Linked DNA regions of Caenorhabditis elegans. The protein of the gene in region 3 interacts with the protein of the main gene of each other region in a pairwise test. Each region holds a gene or a part of one and is shown on either strand. Other genes may lie near its edges. The genes, in order: appg-1, pqn-74, pqn-71 and daf-4.

Region 1 (4,755 bases), on a different chromosome or scaffold from region 3:
TAAGATTTATGACGGGACACTTTAGGGTTACTGTAGTAGTACGGTATGAATGCTGTAGCAGTACTGTTGCAAAATTTATCTTGAATGCTACTGGTGCTACTGTAACATTGTGGCTGGGTACGGTAGGGGTACGGTAACAGTGTAAACAGTTGTACTACTGTGTAAAAAGACACATTTTCCCAACAAATGCCAATTTAAAGTATGTCAAGTCATAGAAATTCTAACTTAAAGTTGAGTTGGTTGATGATTAATTAACAAATAGAACATCAATTTATACTGTTACCGTGACCCTCCCTGTTGGGTATCAACGTGTATTGACCCACGACGTGGCTAAGAAGATCGTGCAACGTGAACTCTATGAACTAACTTATTTATTCCTTAGTTTAGTAATGTAATAAACTACTCGTCTTCTCTCCTCGTCTCGCCTTCGAATACACAACACTCCCGTACTGTAATCCGTACTGTAATGTAGAGTAATCCAAACGAACAATAGTTTTCAAATAGATAAAAATTTTAGGAACTTCTTGTACAGAGAAATCAAAAAGAGTTGAATTTTGCTTTTCAATTTTGAAGTAATTTCCAAAATGTGAGGTTACCATTTTATTTTTTATCTAGTTCCATTTGCTCAAAGGAGACCGTTAATTTTCCCTCCAACCAAATACGGAAATCGCTGATTTTATTATTACGTAGTGCAACAAAACTCTTGAAAAGGTGACAATTGATAAGTGGGCCCCCTTATCACCTTTCCTTATCCCACACACACACATACACACACACATTTCCTTGGCGATATCATTCTCGAATATCGGATATCCGATTTCCCGGTTGGTCATTCATCTATTGACTCTTTTAAGACGACGCCCCCGGTAATCAAACATTAGGACTTGGTGGGGCGAACTATTGCGTGTGTGTGGGTCTGAGGCGGTTTCGGCAATATACCTGGAGATTTTGTGGATTTTCAGATAAAAAAGTTTACGGGAGGTAAGATACATAATCAAGATTTGGCAGCATGAAAAAATGTTCAGTTCAAATTTTTTCAAAGTTTGGAAATTCTTTAGCCTTCCCGGTGAACTCGGGATTTTGGATCAACTTTCTGCAAACAATTAGGCAATTTCTAAAGATATGATCGAATAAGTTGCTGGAGGTAAGTTCCTGGAAAAGATTCTCATCAGGAAAATGTCAGAAAATTGCAAAAAGCTTGACAGAAAGTTACGCTATTTCGAGGAAGCTGCGGGGTTTTTACTGAATTTTAATTGAGAATGTACCAGAGCCAAGAGACTATGTGTGAACAATAAATATTTGGATCCAATAAAAATTGAAGCATAAGCTATAGTTAAAAAAAACTAATTTTTTATTGATGTCTAGTAATTTTAGTAATCCAAAAATGGAAGGATCTTCCGGTTTTCGAATTACGGTTTCTCGCAACAATATCGGTTTCAAAACAGATGTTTCCTGTTTCCGCTTTTTCCATTTTTGTGCATCCCTTTGTTAATTCACCATCCCATGAAGAAGAAGAAGAAGAAACATTCTAAATTTTCAAATGTTTTCTCCTTCTCACCCAATTTCCATTTCACCAGACATTTTGTGTGTATGACGGGGTCATGATGTTAAAGAATTGGGAGAAAAACCGAATCTTTTTCTCTCTCTGGCGAATGGGTGTTTACTTTCTGTTTTCATTGTGTTCACCTTTGCCTGACAATAGAAACAAACTCTCGCGCAACACAGAGACCTTGGAGCCAGTGGAAATGGACGAGACGCCGACTAAATTGAAATAGAAACCTTCGTTTGACTGTCTTGGAATGAGCAGGCTTTTTGGGAAGAAAACTCGATTTGGAATAAAAAGAAGAGGAATCGGGTCAAAGAATCGGGGCGGAGTTTTGTCAAAATTCTTTAGACTTTGGCCCATGTGAATCAAAATGTTTCGAAATAAAGTTGGGTTAATGCATGATTTAATGGTGAGTTTGTCTAGAGCAATATTTAGTAGCATTTTTACCAGACACTCAATGTAGGCATTAAACTCGACTTGAAAGTGACCTACTACATTCATACCATGCTTTTTGCAGTCGACTACAAAAATACTGTAGGCGCACAGGTAGGCATCAATGTCACAGAGCCGGTATACTAACATGACTCGTTTTTCCAAGATTGTCTCCTTGTAGTTTTGAAATAATGGATTATGGTAAAACTGAACCGTCAAAACCAAATTGGAACCATTCTCAAATTGAATTTTTTTACAAGTTTTTTATTTTTCCTACAATTAGAATAAAATTGCTCCCAAAAGGTCAAAACAATTTTAATTTATTTTTTGATTAATCTGTTAGAGAGAAAGTCTGCAATTGTTAGAATTCACTAGCTGCAAAATTAAAAAAAAATGTTGCGTCATCAAATTCTAGTTTCAAACCCATCAATTGTTCCCACAACATAAAATATTGTAGGGATAGACTAATTGAAGTTTTGTAATCTTCAAAAATGTACTTTCAATAGAATTATTTTTTCGAAAAAATAGAAATCCATAGAAAATGATTTTCAGAAATTGCAGAGAACTAATTTTTTCTAATACTGATAAAAACGGTATTTTCACAAAATTTAAAACTTGCAACAAAGACTCTTAAAGAAACACAATCTAGTTTACAAATTATGTTACAGACATTGAAGGCTTGTTACCTAATGTTCGATACAGTTAATACCAAAGTTCACACCCAAAATAAAGATTTACCAAACCAAAGTAAGCTAATAAGAGATGGTTCGTATAAAATAAGTTATAAAACTCTTTAATTTTGTGAGAAGACAAATATCTGACTAATTAACAGTGGTTGACCGCAAAAGTTTCAAAAGGATTTTAATTAGTCCAGTTTACCGAGCAGGTCAAGTTACGAGCAAACAATTCAAAAGCAAATAAAGTCAAAGTAACTACCAACAAAAAACCAAAAATAAACTCACCGCAGCAGTAGAAAGTGCCAAAAGAAGGCAGAATAAGAATAGTAGCCGAAGAGAATTCGAGCGTCCCATCGGGAAGATTTTATGATTGATTCCTAATTCTCAGATCCAGGAGGGATTGGATTACTGTATATGAATTTAAGTGATGAACAATATGAATAAGAGTACGGATACAAGATTATTAACAGACAGAAATGGTATATAATAAGTCTTCACACACACACACACAAATCCTTCAAAATCTATTTCTCACTCTGCTTCTCTCTTACTGCTTGAAGAGCTCTCCGGAGGGGGCGATAGGAGGGCGGTAAAAGCTTCGCGGAATGCGCGCTCAGAGGCGGAGCATTTCCGCGCGGCAAAAAGGACAGCCTGACGCGTTGGTGCTCCTGCTGGACGAGAGAGCCCCCATGGCTTCCCAAGGCAATTTTTGAATCCTGTTTGTTTGTATTTCGCCATGTACAAATTGTCAATGTATGTTCGTTGTTGGCCGCTTGAATCGACTGGAGAGCTACCCGAACTTTTTGCGGGGAAGGAAATCGGCACTAATTTGGAGAGTTCGGAAAGGACGGAAGGGGGTCATCCTCTTGTCTGTTCCACCGATGTTTGTTTTTTAGAATGGGGGCATGCTTGAGAAGAAAGGACATTGTGTGATTAAGCTGGTGATTAGGATGATTATTGATGAGCATACATTGATGATTGTAGTGGCAGGAAAAAGCAAAGGGGTGAACCAAATTGGGATTGTTTCGATGAAGATAGTGACGGAGGTTTCAATTTGATACAAATTTAAACGGAAATTATAAGTTTTTTCGTTGTCGTTGAACTAGAAATGCTGAGATATTGTGTTCTGTACTAATTTAGAACTTACAGAATATAAGTACTGATTTAAAAATACAGACTAGTAAAGTAGTTTAAATATTCCATTTTGGTTGGAATAGGAGGCCGTTTATAAATGTATCTTTTTGTTTATTTTGCCAGTTTTATTGATTTGCTAAGATTTGAAGGAGTACCGAAAATTGGGACAATGCCCTATTAGACTTGAAGGTATCAAATGGCCTGAAATTCGCAATGAGACGTCTTGAAATTTTCCAATAACTTTTTTATGGCGGTTCACATTATTGAGGGAACATGCATATTTTCAGCTATCATTCCAAGTTTCCCAACTGTCTAGACTCTTCACGGAAAAACGTGCAATTGATTTTGCATTCAATCACCATATTTCAAATGTCTCGGCAACTTTTTTATTCAACTGAAATAAATAAAGATGTTTGAACAAACGGAGTCCTGATAGTGAGCTCAATAGAATTTTAGCTCTAACATATTTGGACCAACTTAATTTCAAGTGATAAATGTAATAATTTTCTTGTATGGGAACTTTCGAAATGATACATGTCAATTTGTATTCTGATTGTATTTTCTTTACACAATTAATTATTGTATCAAAGTACAAAAATATATATTGGGATTTTGGATGTTTTAAATTGGGATGGCCGACTTGGCGTTCATAAAAATAATGGCTTGTTGAATTCAATACGTTTTATTCGCTACATACATTGACTAACTCGTCAAATTGCAAATTACCATAAAATCTTAAATTACTCCCAAAAACATTAGAATACTGATGGTACATAAATAAATACAAAATAATCGAATCAATAAATAAATAATTGATTATTCACTGACGATGAGCAAAATCTTCAGTTCGTTGATTTTTCGTTTCTTTCATGCGACGACGCATTTTCGATTGGCATACTGGGTAACAAGTCGTTTGGCAAGCTGCCATACAGTTCGGATTGTTAGGAAGACATTGGTGCTCACATT
Region 2 (4,243 bases), on a different chromosome or scaffold from region 3:
ACCAAAATAAGCTTGTTGTCATTTAAAAATAAGTACCTTTGAAATTAGGTGTTTTCATGAAACAAGGTACACTAAGAAAATTATCTCCACAAAGTTTTTTACATTTTGCAATTTGCACTTCCTATAATTGCTTAAGTACTCCACTAAAAAACCAATAACAATTTAAATGTTTATTAAATGTATTTCGAAATTTGAGATTCATATGAAATACAAACAAATTGCAAAAAGTAGAAAACTGCGAAAATTATTTTCTTATTAAACTTTGTTTTATGAAAACACCAAGCGTTTAGATACTTGGAAATTCTAATAAAAAAACCGACCCGCCTGATGTCAGCTGCTGTAGCTTTTTTTCTGGAACAGAGTTGTATAATTTTGAAAAATCCAAAGTGTAGAAAAAGTTTTCGTCAATACTTTGTTAGTTGAAAACATTTTTCCAATAAGCAAAGTATTTGAGTTTAAAATATTTGAACAAACCATTAAAATCACTGCAAATCCGGGGTATCAGACAAAAACCAGAAAAGTATTGAAAATATATATTTATTGAAGTACCATCATAAGTTATATAATAGTTATCATTGGAGAGAAAACCCTAGACATTGGACAATTCGGAATACAAATAAGGATTGGGGATTTGGGGGAAGACGGGGGAAAAGTGAGGGCAAACTAGGCGGTACAATTATGGTTGTCTATGCGTATCCGTTTCATGATTGTTGTTTTCTTCACGGTATATACAAAAAGGCGAGAAGATTGTAGCAGTTTTTGGTTCGATGATGATGTGTGTGAGATGTTCGATCGATTAGAAACGACGGGCCTTCTTGCGGAAGTAGCAGCAAACCATGCACTGAAAGAGTGTTCGTTTGCTTATGATCTATTCGAGCCTCCCTCCCCATTCTTACACACCCCCGTCCCTATTGTAATCGTCTCAATTGCCACACACAAGAACGGAAACCGGTTGAATTGGTTGCCGATCTCTTGCTTCTAGACACTACTCTCTTACCTGTTGTCCGGCATTTTGTCCGACTTGGCAGACCGATTGTCCTGGGCACTGGTAGTTTTGGTTGCATGATCCGATTTGAACTCCTCCGGTGCATCCGCATTGAGCGTTCTGTGGAGCCTGGGTGGAGACGTATGGGGCTGGAGTTGGAAGAGTTCCTGGCTGGCTGTTGGTGTCCCAGACGCAGACTTGGGATTGGACGTCGAAGACGGTTCCTGGGGCACATGGCATACGTTGCCATCTTCCGCAGAACAAGTTGTTTGGAGCTGGCTGGCATTGAAGGTAGTGAGTGCGGGATTGTGGGTCAGTGGCAAGTGGGTCGATCATCCATGAGCAGATTCCTTGGTATTGAGCGTTTTGAACTCCGGATCCTTGGACTGAAATAGAAAGGTTTAGATTGTAGATTCTAGAACCATAAGATCTTACCGAGTGGGCATGGCTGTGGCTGGACAACTGGAGCAGATTGTTGTGGGCAGTATTGTTGCTGGGTGGTTGTGGTTTGGCAGTTCTGTTGAATTTGGGTTGGGGTGCACTGGCATGGTTGCATCTGAACTGGAGCCTGGGTGGTGGTCTCTTGTTGTTGGCAGCAGGAGATGGAGACAAGGATCTGCTCATTCTGCTGATTGTTGGTAGAGCATGTGCAGGCTGGTTGGTTCTGTGGGCATGGGCATGATGGGTATTGGGAGAATCTCAATGGCTGTTGCTGGGCAGATCTGCGGACCTTCTTGACAGCAGAGATTGGCTCGAGGATTTCCGGCGATGGGCAGACACAGTTTTGCTCTCCATTTGGACAGGCGCACTGTCTTGGAGCCTCACGGGTCTCCTCAACGAGGAATTGCATGGCCGAGGCAGTTGGGCAGAAGTTGTACTCGGTGGCATTGGCAGACTCGCAAAGTTCCTATAAACAAGAAGATAAACAAAAGGTTGAAGAGTGAAAGGTAAAGGATTACTTGTTGTTTGTTGACAGAACGGACAGTCTTACAACGGCGAGCGGAGGCAACAAACTCGTATCCTGGGAGGCATTCACGAAGAAGCCAGATTCCGAGATCTTTTCTGGAAATGTGAGAAGGCGGATGAAGGTAAAAAGGTATTCAGTATCAAAATGGCTTACCTATCGGCAGCAAATGAGGATTGACGAACACATTCAACATAACGGGTTGGATCACCAGTGGCTCTAGGGAACGATGGCAATTGGCAGATATCACCAAGAATGGCTCTCCAGTATTGTGGAGTTTCCTCACCACTCTTGGATTCGCAAGATGCGAGAGCTATAAGAAAATGGAAAAGGTTATCAAGGAAGAATGAAACAAAATGTTAAAATTGTTAAAAAATCAGAAAAAAGTGATAAACCTGCGAGAGTAGCGCATCCGATAATGAGGAGGAAGCGCGCCATGTGTGTATGAGTGAGAAGAAGCTAGTGTGATGCTCAATCGGCAAACTCGTCGCGCTTTTATACGATTTGGCTCTGGAGCACACCTGGGGAGGGCTCCCGCGCCCTCTCCGAAGTAGGCGGTTCTCTCAGCCCGCCCTAATCCGGAACTCATCAGTGGAATGGCATGCGGAGAGAGGAGCGCACGCGCACCCGTCGACCCACTTCTCACCGCGAATACTTGTAAATAGATTAACAAGATTACAATAGGAATTGATACCCCCTCTCTTCTCTCTTGCTTTCTATGTTCATATTTTTTGAAAATCAAAAACTGTGTTTGTCAGAGTAAACAAACAAAACCCGTGTGTCCGTGCAAATTGGCAACTTACTACAGACAGTAGTGTACTCGAGCATGCTTTCGCAGAAACCGTTTAAGTAGTTGGTTCTCTTACACTACTACAAGTCTCTTTTTTGGCTTTGCGGCGTCAAGCAAGGCCGAAGGTTATGGGAAAAGAAGCTTCTAGACGCTAGATATTTCATCTTTTGGTTCTTGTTGACTCAAGTTTATTTGTGTCGTTCTACTTGAGCTTTTCTCTCTGATTTGCATCATTTTTGATAGCTGGAAACAAAAGGTTACGGTACAAAATCACTTCACAATTCATAAAAATTATTTGGGAATTTAAATGAAATATTGCAAAAATTTTTGAATCGTCTAAAATTGCCAATTTTCGCTCGTAAAAATGGATAATTGTTGTTTCTGATGATTATAAAAGCGATTTTAAAATGTTTAAAAAATCTACAGTACGCTTAATTTTTACAGGATCTACTCTCAAAGCGAACTTAATATTTTCAAATTGAGGTCGCGCAAAAAGTATCTGCGCCGTTAAGAAGTACAGAAGTACAGTAAGAAGTACTGCCCATTTTTTCTTCAAAATATTATTCTGTAGAAAAACGTTTTTGAAAAATCCCCCAAAAAAAAGAGCGGGTTACTGTAGCGCACGCTCATATAGAAAAAAATTTTGTTCGTCTCGGAAACCCATGGAGACGTAACGCTATTCTTTCAGATTTTTTTTGATTTTTTTCAGGAAAAAAATCTTGAAATATTTTTTGCAAAACTGAAATTTTCCGGCAATTGAAAAAAATGCGTAAAAACTCGATTTTTCGATGTTCAGACCTAGTCAGTGCACATTGAGAACTTTTCGGATGTTCGTTTACATTGTGCTCAAATTAGGCGAACTTTGTGAAAATCTGGCACACGTTTCAATAGCGAACCTGGATTGATGTCCGCTGCTTATTTAACTTGTATATCAATTGTATTCAAAACTTCAAACATGTTCGCTGTATGACATGCATGTGCTCTACAATTAGAGCCTGTTCTCTCAAGTTTCTTTCGTGCCCCCAAAGTTCCAGACACGGATCGGTTTCCCGTAATCTCTGGTCTCCGAAGAACACCCCCCCCCCCCCGTCGCCTAGTTCTCAGTGTGTATCCGATGTACGTATAATATGCACTTCATATATCCACCCCTCCTGTCTAACAATTAGTGAAGAATTGAAAAAAAGGTTGGTGAGGGGAGGAAGGAGGGAGGGCGCGAGCTCGTTGACGCCGCGTCTCGTCCGCATGTGCTTCTCCTGCGCATCATCTTATTCCAGTTTGCCCTTCCAATCGTCCGTTGGGAGCAATAAGAAGCATCAGTTGAGCAAGTGAGGAGGGGGGAGGCGAACAATGTGTGTTGAGTGACTCTATTCGTTGGTTTTTCAACAGTCTAACGGGTCCGTTTGTGTATGGGGGTATGTATGTTGCTTGTTGCTCCTGTTGGATTGTGAGAAGAGAACAACGAAAATGATATCTTGGAGAGAGAGATCCGCGCGCCCGCGCGGCA
Region 3 (3,628 bases):
ATCGAAAATTTCCTACCTAAAAATATACATTTCAAAATTCAAAAAAATTACTAATAAACTTTCCCCTTCTTTTCATTGAAAAGTGCGAAAAAAGTTGGACATCTATTTATATATATGTAGCGATATGCATTTGAAGGGGTAACTTTTTGTCTCTTTTTCTCAATGCACTTTTCACCTCTTCTTGCTCTCACTCAACTACTACGTAGTAGCAGAACAAACAACAGGGACCAAGTGGGTCGAGTTTTCGATTTTTCCTTGATTCTGAAAACAAAAATTCGAAAAATACTAATCAATTATAAATTTTAAAACATTTTCGGTCATCTTCTATAAAATCTTATCAACATAATTTCAATACAACAATAGTTTTCTTAATATTTCTAATTGTTTTTCCGGGTCTCGAAATGATTATTCCTGAAAAACAGAGCTCGAAACTACAGTACTCTTTAAAGGTACATCCACCTTTTTTCCATTCAACAAAAAATGTTGTGTGAATACCAGGTACCAAATTTATTAGCTTCAGCACTTTTGAAAGGACCCATTTAACAAAAAAACTGGTAGTGAGAAACATTTATTCATCATTTCCTAGATTTACAGAAATACAATCTTCAAGAATTTTACTTCTTCAAACAACACTGCCCGGAGACATTTCCGCACGGCGAATAGTTTTGTTGACATCCGCACTGACTATTTTGCATTGGTTGACATGCCATTTGGGCCGGCTGATTACAGGATTGATTGCAGGATGTCGAGCAAGCTGGAGCACACTGTTGGGAGGCCGTGGTTCTAGTTTGGCACTGCTGTTGGCATTGTTGCTGGCACTGGGGAACACATTGGGAGGTCTGTGGGGAGGCTTGCACGTAGATGGTTATGGTTTGAGTGTTGCTGTTCTGGCAGGAGTTCTGACACTGCTGGCAGTTGGTGGAAGTTTGTTGAGAGCATTGTGGAGCACATTGTTGTTGGCATTGAGTTTGTTGGTAAGGGTTGTAGTAGTTTTGGTTTTGGTACTGGTTCTGGTTGTACTGATTTTGGATCTGGTTTGGATTTTGGTACTGATTTTGGTTCTGGTACTGATTTCCTTGCTGATTGTACCCTCCATACTGCATTTGATTATACGGATCCTGATTATTGTACATCATATTTCCTGTGGACCCACATTCCTGCTGGCACTGCTGCTGACAAATTGGCTGGCACTGTTGCGCGGTCTGCTGTTGAGTACACTGCTGCATGCATCGGTTCTCACACTCTGGAAGACAACTTTGCGACGCTGGAATTGGTGTGGAAGTCATCGGATTGCAAGACGATGTCTGGCAGGATTGCTGACACGTTGGCTGGCATTGAGTGTTGGTGTTAGATTGGCACTGTTGACTGCAGGACTGTTGACAAGCAGGCATGCATTGAGACGTCTGCAATTGATATTGCTGGCTGCTGGCGCAAGAGCATGGAGTTGAAGGTTGGCAGGAGCAGCTGTATTGTTGTGAGGCCTGCTGGCAGGAGCAGGTCGGCTGAACCGATTGAGCACATCCGCAGGAGGCTTGACGGGTTTCGCGGATTGAGGAGGCCTGAAATCAAATTGAGTTGAGAAACACGTCGTTAATTGGAATGCTTCTATCAATTTTAAACGTCACTACGAGATTTTTATCGGCCCACATTAAAACAGGGTCGGTCTACTTCCATATACGGGAATACAGATATTACTCTAAAAAAGGAGATTTTTCAGTTAATGATGTCGAAAATTGAAATTCGAAGAGGTTCAAAAACAGTCGTTAAAGCGCCAATTCACATTTCAAGTAGTTTTGTTAACACGAAATTGCGAAAAGAAAATACAATTATTAGGCTTTCTCTCAGCACTTAGAAATTATAAATTTTCAAATTCCTTACAATTAGTTTAAAATTGAAAAACTAACCTGAGCCACAGCCAAAGCAACTGCAAACAATATAATCACACAACGCATCGCTCAATGGGATTCTGTGAGTATACCCCGTGTAATTCTTGCCACTTTTATACTTTTTCATGTTGTTTACCAACCTACACTTTTGTTTCTAGTTAGACACGTTTTTTTTTCTTGAAAATCCTAATCAAAAGTTTACAATGTTTGCATTTTTCATTGACCCGATAAATCAACTTATCTTTTGTTTGTTTGTTGAGCATGATGGAGGAAAACTGGTTCTTAATCAGAGTTATTCATGTTTGTTCAGTTATTTTTGAAATAAATATATAAGTTTGAAGTAAAACAGAATTAAATTCTCAATTTATTATTCATTCCCCATAATCGTTTATTTGCATTACACTCTCCTCTGGCCAGCGCTATCTCTGTTCCTCTCAATTGTGTATACCTCCGTGAAGCATGTCTCTCGTGGCCGAATGGTCTAGTGGTATGATTCTCGCTTTGGGTGCGAGAGGTCCCGGGTTCAATCCCCGGTTCGGCCCATTCCTTTTGAAAAAAATTGAGAAAGAAACAATTTTTCAACAATGAAAAAAAAAACAAAAAAATCAAGCCACCTAGGGGACTCGAACCCCTGACCTTAAGATTAAAAGTCTCACGCTCTACCAACTGAGCTAAGGAGGCCACGGCGGCGGTGTTAGAATTGGTCTTTAGAAAACGGAATCGGGAGAGAATCGAGAGGCGCGCCTGGTGGTCAACTAGTACATCTAGTTGGCATGGAAAATTTTAATGTTTTCAAACATAAATATGTATTAATTGAACAAATATTTGTGAAAAATTTTGCATAAAAAATTGCTGTATAAGGTGTTACAACGGCTTTAAAGTTTAGTTTTCAATTATTTTTAATTGAAAATTTGACGCAAAAATGTTTAATTTCATCTTTCTAGTGTAAAGTTTATATTCAGTAATTTTTTTTCTCGATAACATAACTGAACTGTGTTGTTTCAAATAAAATATCTTCTATTCAGCAGATTTTCAAAACCGAAAAAAAATCCAGAATTTCAACACATCGATGACCAATTTAGTCTCATTTCCTGCCGTCACTTTCCCTCATTCCCGATTTTCTCAGTTTTCATTTCTGTTTCCCCTCCTTAAAAAGCGTCTATTCAAAAGGGATTTCCGTCGATCATAACCAGACGATATCGCTTAAATCGATCTAATAATGTTGGAATGTCCATTCTCCCCCCTCACCCGTTTCCTCACTTCTTTGCCTCCCTGTTGTTCTTGTTTTCTCCCGTATTGTTTTCCTAAATCTCGGACAAAAACTAGAGGCCTAAAACGTGGGCCTGATGAGGCCCTTACTCTCATGTTTCCCCGTGATTTTCGCGGTTTTTGGGCCGATTATTGCGGTTAAGCCCGTATGGAAGACGCCCGTCTCTGAGCCGAATCCAAATGCGAATCTCGAAGTTTTAAAGGGACACTCGAATTTGGCGAAGGTGAGTTTTTTTTTCAGAAATTGTTTTTGTAAATTCTGGTTTCTCTCGTGAAATAGTAGCATTCGTAAAACTTTAATTGAAAAATAAAACGCTCCAGCTGAGGCTCGTGTGTTGAACTAAACATTTTTGGTATATTGAATTTTAAAACAGGGGGACTAACTATAAGATTTAAAGGGATACCGAGAAATCCAGTTTTTTTTAATTTTAAAAGTATTTTAATTCAAACAACTTGGAACAGCTGCTCATGCC
Region 4 (7,610 bases), on a different chromosome or scaffold from region 3:
TGGTCTTACACGCCTGCTGCTACCCTCTCCTCCTTCTTCTGCAACAACAACAAACCCACCGTGGTCACATGTGAATTTCGCCGAGTTTCACGCTCTTTTTCCCCCTTTTCTTTTTCGGCTTTTGCTGCAAAAATAGAACGAGTGAATAATACCCAGAAAAAAGCGAGTGCTTTGTTGTTGTCAAGGTAAACACAAAAAATATATGAAAAATGTTCAAAAAATATTCGTTTTGACATTCTCTTCTCCCACTTAAGTCGCTTGATTCAATGTGACGGGGAGGCTTGAGGCAGGAGGAAAAGTATAAATTCACCTGAAATAACGAATGGTGACATGTTTTTGAATAAGAAGAAGGAAAGGATGACGTTGAGTGGTACTTTCTATTTTCGTACGTTTTACAGAAAACTTATTGAAACTTAGCGCCCGACATCTAGCCCAAACTTGGACGAACACCTAAGCCTAAGCCCAAGCCTAAATCTCATTTTAGACTTTTAGCCGAGCCCACGCCTACTCCAATTCCGTTCTGCTGAAAAAAACATACGTTTTCCTGGTACCACGCACGAAATATAATCCTGAGAAACTTTTTTTGGTTACATTACATGTGTATAGCACATTATTTAATTTTTCCTCGAATTGCTAGTGTATTTTGGGAACCGAAATATGGAAAGTCCAGTTAGTCCGAACTTCGCCCATTTCCTATAAGGTGCAGGTGTTCATCGATACTATATTTTTCTCAAAGTTCCCGTTCTATAGACCCCGGAAGATCCCGCCTTCATTCTGTTTGGGCCCCGCCCAACTTTAGCCCCCTCCGATGAGAAAAAGAGCACAAGAGGACAGCGAGCCCCTCTTGTAAGGTTCTTGTAGGTCAGATTGTCACGTCATTTGATTTTTTGTTGTTGTTTATTAGAGAACATTGAATGAAAACCTTTTTTTATTTGAAACAAAAAGTAGAGAGTAGAGTTTGTAAAAGTGATAAGAGTGTACCAATCTTTGCTGTTTCCTCGTTCTTTTTCTCTTTTCTCTCTTCATTTCTGATGTGTGCTTCTCACTTCATTTTTTTTGCAAACTTTTTGTGCTTCCTTAACACTTTTCACATCTTTCGTTTGATGGAGATTGTGCAATTTATTCCTATTTTTACGGAATTTTTGAAAAATTTGGTTGACATTTTTTAGTTGAAAGTTTTGAACTCTCATGGTGCATCGAAGTAAAATTCAAACATTTTATTTTAAAAAAATGAAAAGTTTTTTGTTAAAAAAATTGGAAATTTCGAATGTCGAAATTCGAAATTTTTTTATCCGAAATTTCGATTGCTTTTATTTGAAATTAAGAAATTTAATTTTCATCAAAACTAAATTTTTAAAATTTTAGCTGGAAATTTTAGCAAAGCTGGCAATTTTATTTAATTTTATCGAAATTTTCGAATTTTCGAATTTTTGAAATTTTATTTATTTTTTCTCAAGTTGAATTTGTTGACCTATTTTTTTTATTTAAATAAGTTTGCATCTATTTTTCTCAATAAAACATTTGATCTTAATTATTTATTTATTTTACTCCTCAACTTTAAAAAAAACGTTACAATAATTCAACTACCTTCAATTTTCAGATGAATCAGAAAGGGACAGTACGTCTCAAGGCACTTGTGCTCATTTGCCTTCCACTCTTTTTAATTGCCACACCGGTTCCTGTTGCAGTCACGGAAGACGATCGTCAGGACCGAATCGAATCGGAAGCCGCCGAGAAAGAGGTGAGCATTTTTTGAGAAAATGTGTTTTTGTCGTAAACTTCTTTATTTTATTCTATCTCCTTGGTTTAACCATCTTTCAGTGGGCTAACACCCTAGTCAGCAAAGTAGCACAGTCAAATGGAACTGGCACTATTAAGGTCTCGGCACCAGCGAAGCCCACGTTAAGGAGAATGGACAATGAGGAGGATGAAGTGATTTCGATTGAATGTGTAGTAAGTTTTTGGATCAATTTGATGGAATTTAGGCTCATTAGATAGTGTTGACGTTTTGGGGATCAGAAATCAGTGACTCTCCCGTTTGTTTAAAAATTACTGGATCAAATACACTTTAATTCCAGTGAGCCCTGTTCCCCTTGTAGAGGTCGCAGAGCCAATCCACCCACATTCCACTGATCCTTGTTTCAATTAACTATAGTTACTTTAAAGTACCAAGATATTCTAAAAGGGATAAGTTCAAACCCGCAAGCTACAATAACTACAACTCCTTTTGTTTTTCAAGTGTTATCACTATTCCATAATTATAGGCTCTCTTCCCCAAAATTAAAGCAGTAGTAAAAACGTTAAACTTTAAAATTTTGCAGTACTACGACGAGATGGAATGCGAAAAGAGTGGCGATTGTGAAATCACAAAGAAGACGTGTTACAGTGAAGCTCATCTGAAAGCCGTCGGATGCTTGGCCGTATTTGGGCTGCCCACGCAAGAGGTTAGTGTGGAAGAGGTTTTTGGCGGCCACCCCCAGACCGAACTGTGTCACATGACGGGGGCCCTTTATATATATTGTTTCATTTGTTATTCATGAGTGACATCTTCTTCCTCTTCATCCGCGGAAGTATTTGTATCTTTTGCATTTTTTTTTCCATTCTGGCTTATGACTTTGTCAGCTGGAACAAATTGGGGTGACATGACTCGTGATTTTTGATAGTTTTGTAGGATGGAATTTGAATATCAAAATTAAAATCAGAATTGCATTAGTTTTATCGAAAACAAATACATATGAGCAAGGTTTTGGCCTTTTTGAAGACGACTTTGAAAATTTACTGAGCGACATAGGATTTAAACGTGGAACTTGATTCAAATTGAAAAAAATACTGCGGAAAAAGTTAATGATCAAGGCTTTATTATTCCTTTGCTACAAAGCTCTTCAAACCAAACTTAAAAGTTGTTGAGTTTATCAATCCAATTTTGATCGAATCCATTAAAAATGTGCAAACCAACTAATCCGGATTTAGCTGCCCATGTTTCAAAAGATGATTAATTGAGTAAAGGGGATAATAATAGATATATGCATCCATATTATAAACATCAAAAATCTTAAAATTTCCAGATAAACTCTACAGAACCATACCTGAAAGTTGATAAACCGCAATACAAAAGTCTGGGATGTATGCCGTATCAGCACGCGGACTCGATGAACTGCGAGAACGAAAGCTCCGTAAGTTATATTTCAGCATTCGGAGCACCTCATAAAACTGGAATTTCAGTGTCGCCAAGGACGATCATTTCGCGGCGGAATTGGAATGTGCTGCTGTTCGACCAACAATTGCAACATGCCGGATCTCATCGAGATGGTCAACCCGTCATTGAAGAAGGGTCAGTGAGCACATTATATTAAGAGAGCACTATATCCCATGTTTAACCCCATTCTTAGTATACTAGAGCAACACGCAATGATTCTGTTTTTGTGAATATACATATATATCACCTCCTTCTTTTTACCTTTTTTACCTTCTTTCTGTCCCACTTTCTGTTTAAATAACCTTCTTTCGGGTGAGCGTTGGGGCTAGAGGCTAGGGAGAAATTGTTGGCATTGAAATGAGAGGTTTTCTGTGAAACATTTAGCTTTAAGTTAGCAGAATTTTCACGAAAGTTGAACAACCACGCGTGTCTGTGCCTAGTTATTTTTTCGAAATACGGTTCATCATACGGAGGTTGCCTCCCATCAACTAAAATACGACAGAGTTGGAGCACATTCGAGAAAATTCCCAGGAAGTTAGACAAAAATGTGGCAAACTAACGACGAGTGTAGGGAGATAGTGGACGGAAGTTGGCAAACGTTGCGAGCAAATGAGAAGCACCAAATTGCAATATGTCCTAATGTAGAAGCGTTCAGGCGAAAGTTCGAGAGAGTTTGGCGATGTTTGGTTTGAGCTCGGCCACAGTAATAGGGAAAGTGACGCGAAGTGTGATCAATCTGAGTCAAGCTTTCGACAAGTGAAAGACGAGAGTAGGAGTTGAGGAGCGGGCCAGATGGAAGACGGAAGCTGCGACGAATCTTCAACTAATTTATGAGCGTTGAAAAAAAAAGTTGGAGAGAGGTTATGGGGTTATTCAAGTAGTGTCGGAAAATTAAAAAGTGTAGAAAAATTACGTCACAACCTTATTCAAGTAGATAAAAACATGTATTTAAATACATTTGTGACGTCACAAATGTATTTAAATGCATTTTGCTACATTACTTGAATAACCCCATTAGAAAATTTTGAATGGTCTCTACGGATCTCAGCAAACGTTCGTCCAAACTGCGACAACCTTATGACGCGTTTATGATAAAATTTGAAGTTGAGACAATGAGAGAGAAGGATAACCGAGCAGAGGTTGAGAAGAAAGCTCGAGAGAGCTTGGCAAACATTGAAAGATAGTTCAGCTAGCCCTGAGACAATATTTTGCGCCAAAGCTGAACAAATTTCCGGTGGAAGTCAATCGGAAATTAAGAAAAATATGGAGAACTTCCCATTACTTTAGCTATACTCCTCCCAACCTTTCCCCGTGTACCCTCAACCTGAAAGAATCCACCTCTGTAAAAGCCTGCAGTTGTCATAAACCTTGTTCCCAATTTCTCTTCCCTTTCCTAATTTTCTCCGAAAAAAATGCACGTGGACCTCTCCAGATTGTCTCCTAATTTTCTCTTACCCCTCACACATACACACACACACCATTCATGCAATTTTATGTTTGTTCTTGTGGCTTTGCAAGTAAACCACTTTTTTATTTCAACTTTCTTTTGTTCTTTCTGTTTCTAGAGGCGATTCGCAACGACACTCTGCTGTTATTTGGCTCCTCCCCTCCAGTGAGCGGAGTGTCGTTGCAAAGTGAAACAAACGCTTTTTCGTAATAATTTGCACCCGTGGAAGATGCCTGTACACACACACACACATACAAATAAAAACATGTACACATTTTGAAATCACCTATTTAGAGCCGATAAAATTTCAGATTCGGATAATTCTGCACTTCTGTGGGCTTCAACTCCATCCAACATGGATTTGGAATCTCTAGGTACTGTCTGCATCTACGTCTCGGGGCTAGCTGGGTACTAACTAGGTGCTAAACACCCTCTACCACACATCCCCCACTCTTGTCAGTTTCTCAATGGAGCGAATTTGCAGACAAGTTCCCATTCTACTGGATCATCATAATCGCACTGTCAGTGATCCTTTGTATTGCACTCTTGATCTTGGCATACGTTGGTTGGAAATTTCAGCAGAATAAGAAGGAGGAGATAAAAAAGCAGCAGAAAATTAAATTTGACATGGCGAGTTTTGTCTTTTTTGAAATCGAATCAATTTTCGAAATTTTCAGGAAAAAACTGACGCACTGGAAGCTGGAAATGTGCCTCTCGTGGAGCCGGAAGAGGAAATGATTGAAATGGTGGAGACACCAAAGGAGCTGCCGATCACTGATTTTCAGGTATGTAGGTACCGCAAGAGTCGTGCTTGATATTTTATATTGAAACATGCTCTCTAAATCTAGAATACAACATTTGAATTTTGAAAAAAAAACCATATTGGTGAAACTTTTCAGCTTTACATGAATTTTTTAAAAATTATCAAAAACAATTGTTAACATAACTTAAAAACAACGAACAATTCTGAAAACATTTGAATTTATGGTTTTTTAACAGTGTCGGGGAACGTTTTCATTTGGCATTGGAGCGCATTTGCACTTTGATTTCAAAATTCACATATTTCGCGTCTTCATAATAGTTCGTCTTTTTGATATTTTGCTCGGAAGTTCGACCTCACGGTGTAAACTTTTGATGTCCACTACTTTGTGAACTCTGAGCTTTTCCTTACTTTTTCTTTATCTTTGAGAAAAAATGTTGAAAACAACAGAAGGCTCTTTTCATGAGCTGATTGACGTCACACTTACACTCAATGACATTTGTTCGTTTATTGCAGTTAATCTCAAAGGGACGTTTTGGAAAAGTTTTCAAGGCGCAATACACCCCAGACAGTGGTGAGAAACGATTGGTTGCGGTGAAGAAATTGAACGAATTCCAAAAAGCGAGCTTTTTGGCGGAGAAAAGAATCTTTGATGAGCTTAACGAGTACCCGAAGTGGTATAAAAGTATCGTCGAATTTGTGTGCGCCGAGAAAATTGGTGATGAGTATTGGATTGTGACCGAATTTCATGAGCGACTTAGTCTCTATGAGTTACTCAAGAATAATGTAATTAGTATTACATCTGCCAATCGAATTATTATGTCAATGATCGATGGGCTTCAATTCTTGCATGACGACAGGCCGTACTTCTTTGGACACCCAAAGAAGCCAATTATTCACAGGTTAGTGGAAAATGAAAATAATTAGAAAATTTTTAATGGATCTGACTTGTGATCGCCCTCCAACTAGTTTTAATGCTCAGAACTTTACTCTAGGTTGGTCCTAGAAAAAATCGGAAGAAGTTGCTAAGTTGCGCTTGAGCAGCCGACATTTTCAGGATCAATTAATAGTAGCGTGGACCTACAAGTTGTCGGCTGCAATTTCCAGTAAATATTTTTTGAAATACACACGATAGAGTCCAAAATGATAGGGTAAAATATTGAAAAAAAAAAACCAATTTTTAGGCGCATGACAATTTTCAGTTGAAGTTTCGAAAAGTTAGGGTTTAGAAAAAAAATAAAAATTCAAACAATTTTGTACATTGGAACACCTAAAGTATCTAGAGTTAATTAGAACATAATCAGAATATAAATTTCGCGGGAAAATTGTGTACAAAGTGTTATTATGATATTCGGTTTACTATCGGAGAGATTCTAACCAATGCTCCCAGTAACACTACGTTACCTTTTAAGAGCAGGTAGCGAGTTTCAACGACGCACGACGCTGGTTAGTGTATGCTCCAAACTGTTTCTAATGTCTGTACTTATTCAATTCAATAACCAATTTTTTGCAGAGATATCAAGTCGAAGAACATTCTTGTGAAAAGCGACATGACCACATGCATCGCGGACTTTGGCCTCGCCCGAATCTACAGCTATGACATTGAGCAAAGCGATTTGCTGGGTCAAGTGGGAACGAAACGCTACATGTCACCAGAGATGCTCGAAGGAGCAACCGAATTCACGCCAACTGCTTTCAAAGCGATGGACGTTTATTCGATGGGACTCGTCATGTGGGAAGTCATATCCCGTACCAAGTTGCACCAAACCGACGAGCCACCAAACTACCAAATGCCGTTTCAAGTCATCGGATTTGATCCCACAATTGGTCTCATGAGAAATTATGTGGTGAGCAAGAAGGAACGACCACAATGGAGAGATGAGATTATTAAACATGAATATATGAGTCTGCTAAAAAAGGTTACGGAAGAGATGTGGGATCCCGAAGCGTGTGCACGGATTACAGCTGGATGTGCGTTCGCGAGGGTATGGAATCATATTATGAGCTCACCGGACAGTTCGGAGGGGTATCACAGTGGAAGTAGTATGAAGAATCGGGGTGTTGATGATGTTGAACAAAGTGAGAAGCCGGAGGGTATCGAAGAAATGCAACATTATCATGCGTCGTCACCCAGCAAGAGACAACATCCTAGTCCGAATCCGTTTTTTGATTCGTGTCCACCACCTCCGCCGATTCCTGTGATCCTT

Evidence for each region.
Region 1: the proteins of pqn-71 (region 3) and appg-1 interact in a two-hybrid assay, tested with the Caenorhabditis elegans proteins (one study listed by BioGRID).
Region 2: the proteins of pqn-71 (region 3) and pqn-74 interact in a two-hybrid assay, tested with the Caenorhabditis elegans proteins (one study listed by BioGRID).
Region 4: the proteins of pqn-71 (region 3) and daf-4 interact in a two-hybrid assay, tested with the Caenorhabditis elegans proteins (one study listed by BioGRID).

Annotation. Positions count from the first base shown.
Region 1 is NC_003280.10:10,324,548-10,329,302, reverse strand, and holds the start of appg-1 (Activated in Blocked Unfolded protein response), read right to left. Parts: upstream 3,010-4,755; coding exon 2,941-3,009; intron 1-2,940. Other genes in the region: idpp-4 (Intrinsically Disordered Protein, expressed in Pharynx), read right to left, coding at 4,610-4,755.
Region 2 is NC_003282.8:13,328,987-13,333,229, forward strand, and holds pqn-74 (Chitin-binding type-2 domain-containing protein), read right to left. Parts: upstream 2,421-4,243; 5' UTR 2,388-2,420; coding exon 2,345-2,387; intron 2,265-2,344; exon of another isoform or gene 2,263-2,264; coding exon 2,106-2,262; intron 2,048-2,105; coding exon 1,945-2,047; intron 1,893-1,944; coding exon 1,421-1,892; intron 1,372-1,420; coding exon 998-1,371; intron 842-997; coding exon 797-841; 3' UTR 521-796; downstream 1-520.
Region 3 is NC_003283.11:15,464,025-15,467,652, reverse strand, and holds pqn-71 (Prion-like-(Q/N-rich)-domain-bearing protein), read right to left. Parts: upstream 1,977-3,628; 5' UTR 1,953-1,976; coding exon 1,905-1,952; intron 1,560-1,904; coding exon 615-1,559; 3' UTR 553-614; downstream 1-552. Other genes in the region: rocf-1 (ZP domain-containing protein), read left to right, coding at 3,233-3,379.
Region 4 is NC_003281.10:5,623,542-5,631,151, forward strand, and holds the start of daf-4 (Cell surface receptor daf-4), read left to right. Parts: upstream 1-1,600; coding exon 1,601-1,741; intron 1,742-1,821; coding exon 1,822-1,953; intron 1,954-2,321; coding exon 2,322-2,444; intron 2,445-3,065; coding exon 3,066-3,173; intron 3,174-3,222; coding exon 3,223-3,331; intron 3,332-3,402; exon of another isoform or gene 3,403-4,665; intron 4,666-4,954; coding exon 4,955-5,017; intron 5,018-5,127; coding exon 5,128-5,273; intron 5,274-5,320; coding exon 5,321-5,428; intron 5,429-5,919; coding exon 5,920-6,305; coding exon of another isoform or gene 6,306-6,330; exon of another isoform or gene 6,331-6,557; intron 6,558-6,916; coding exon 6,917-7,610. UniProt on the Caenorhabditis elegans protein: Involved in a TGF-beta pathway. May be a receptor for TGF-beta-like ligand daf-7. Controls the decision of whether or not larvae enter a developmentally arrested state, known as dauer, in response to environmental conditions.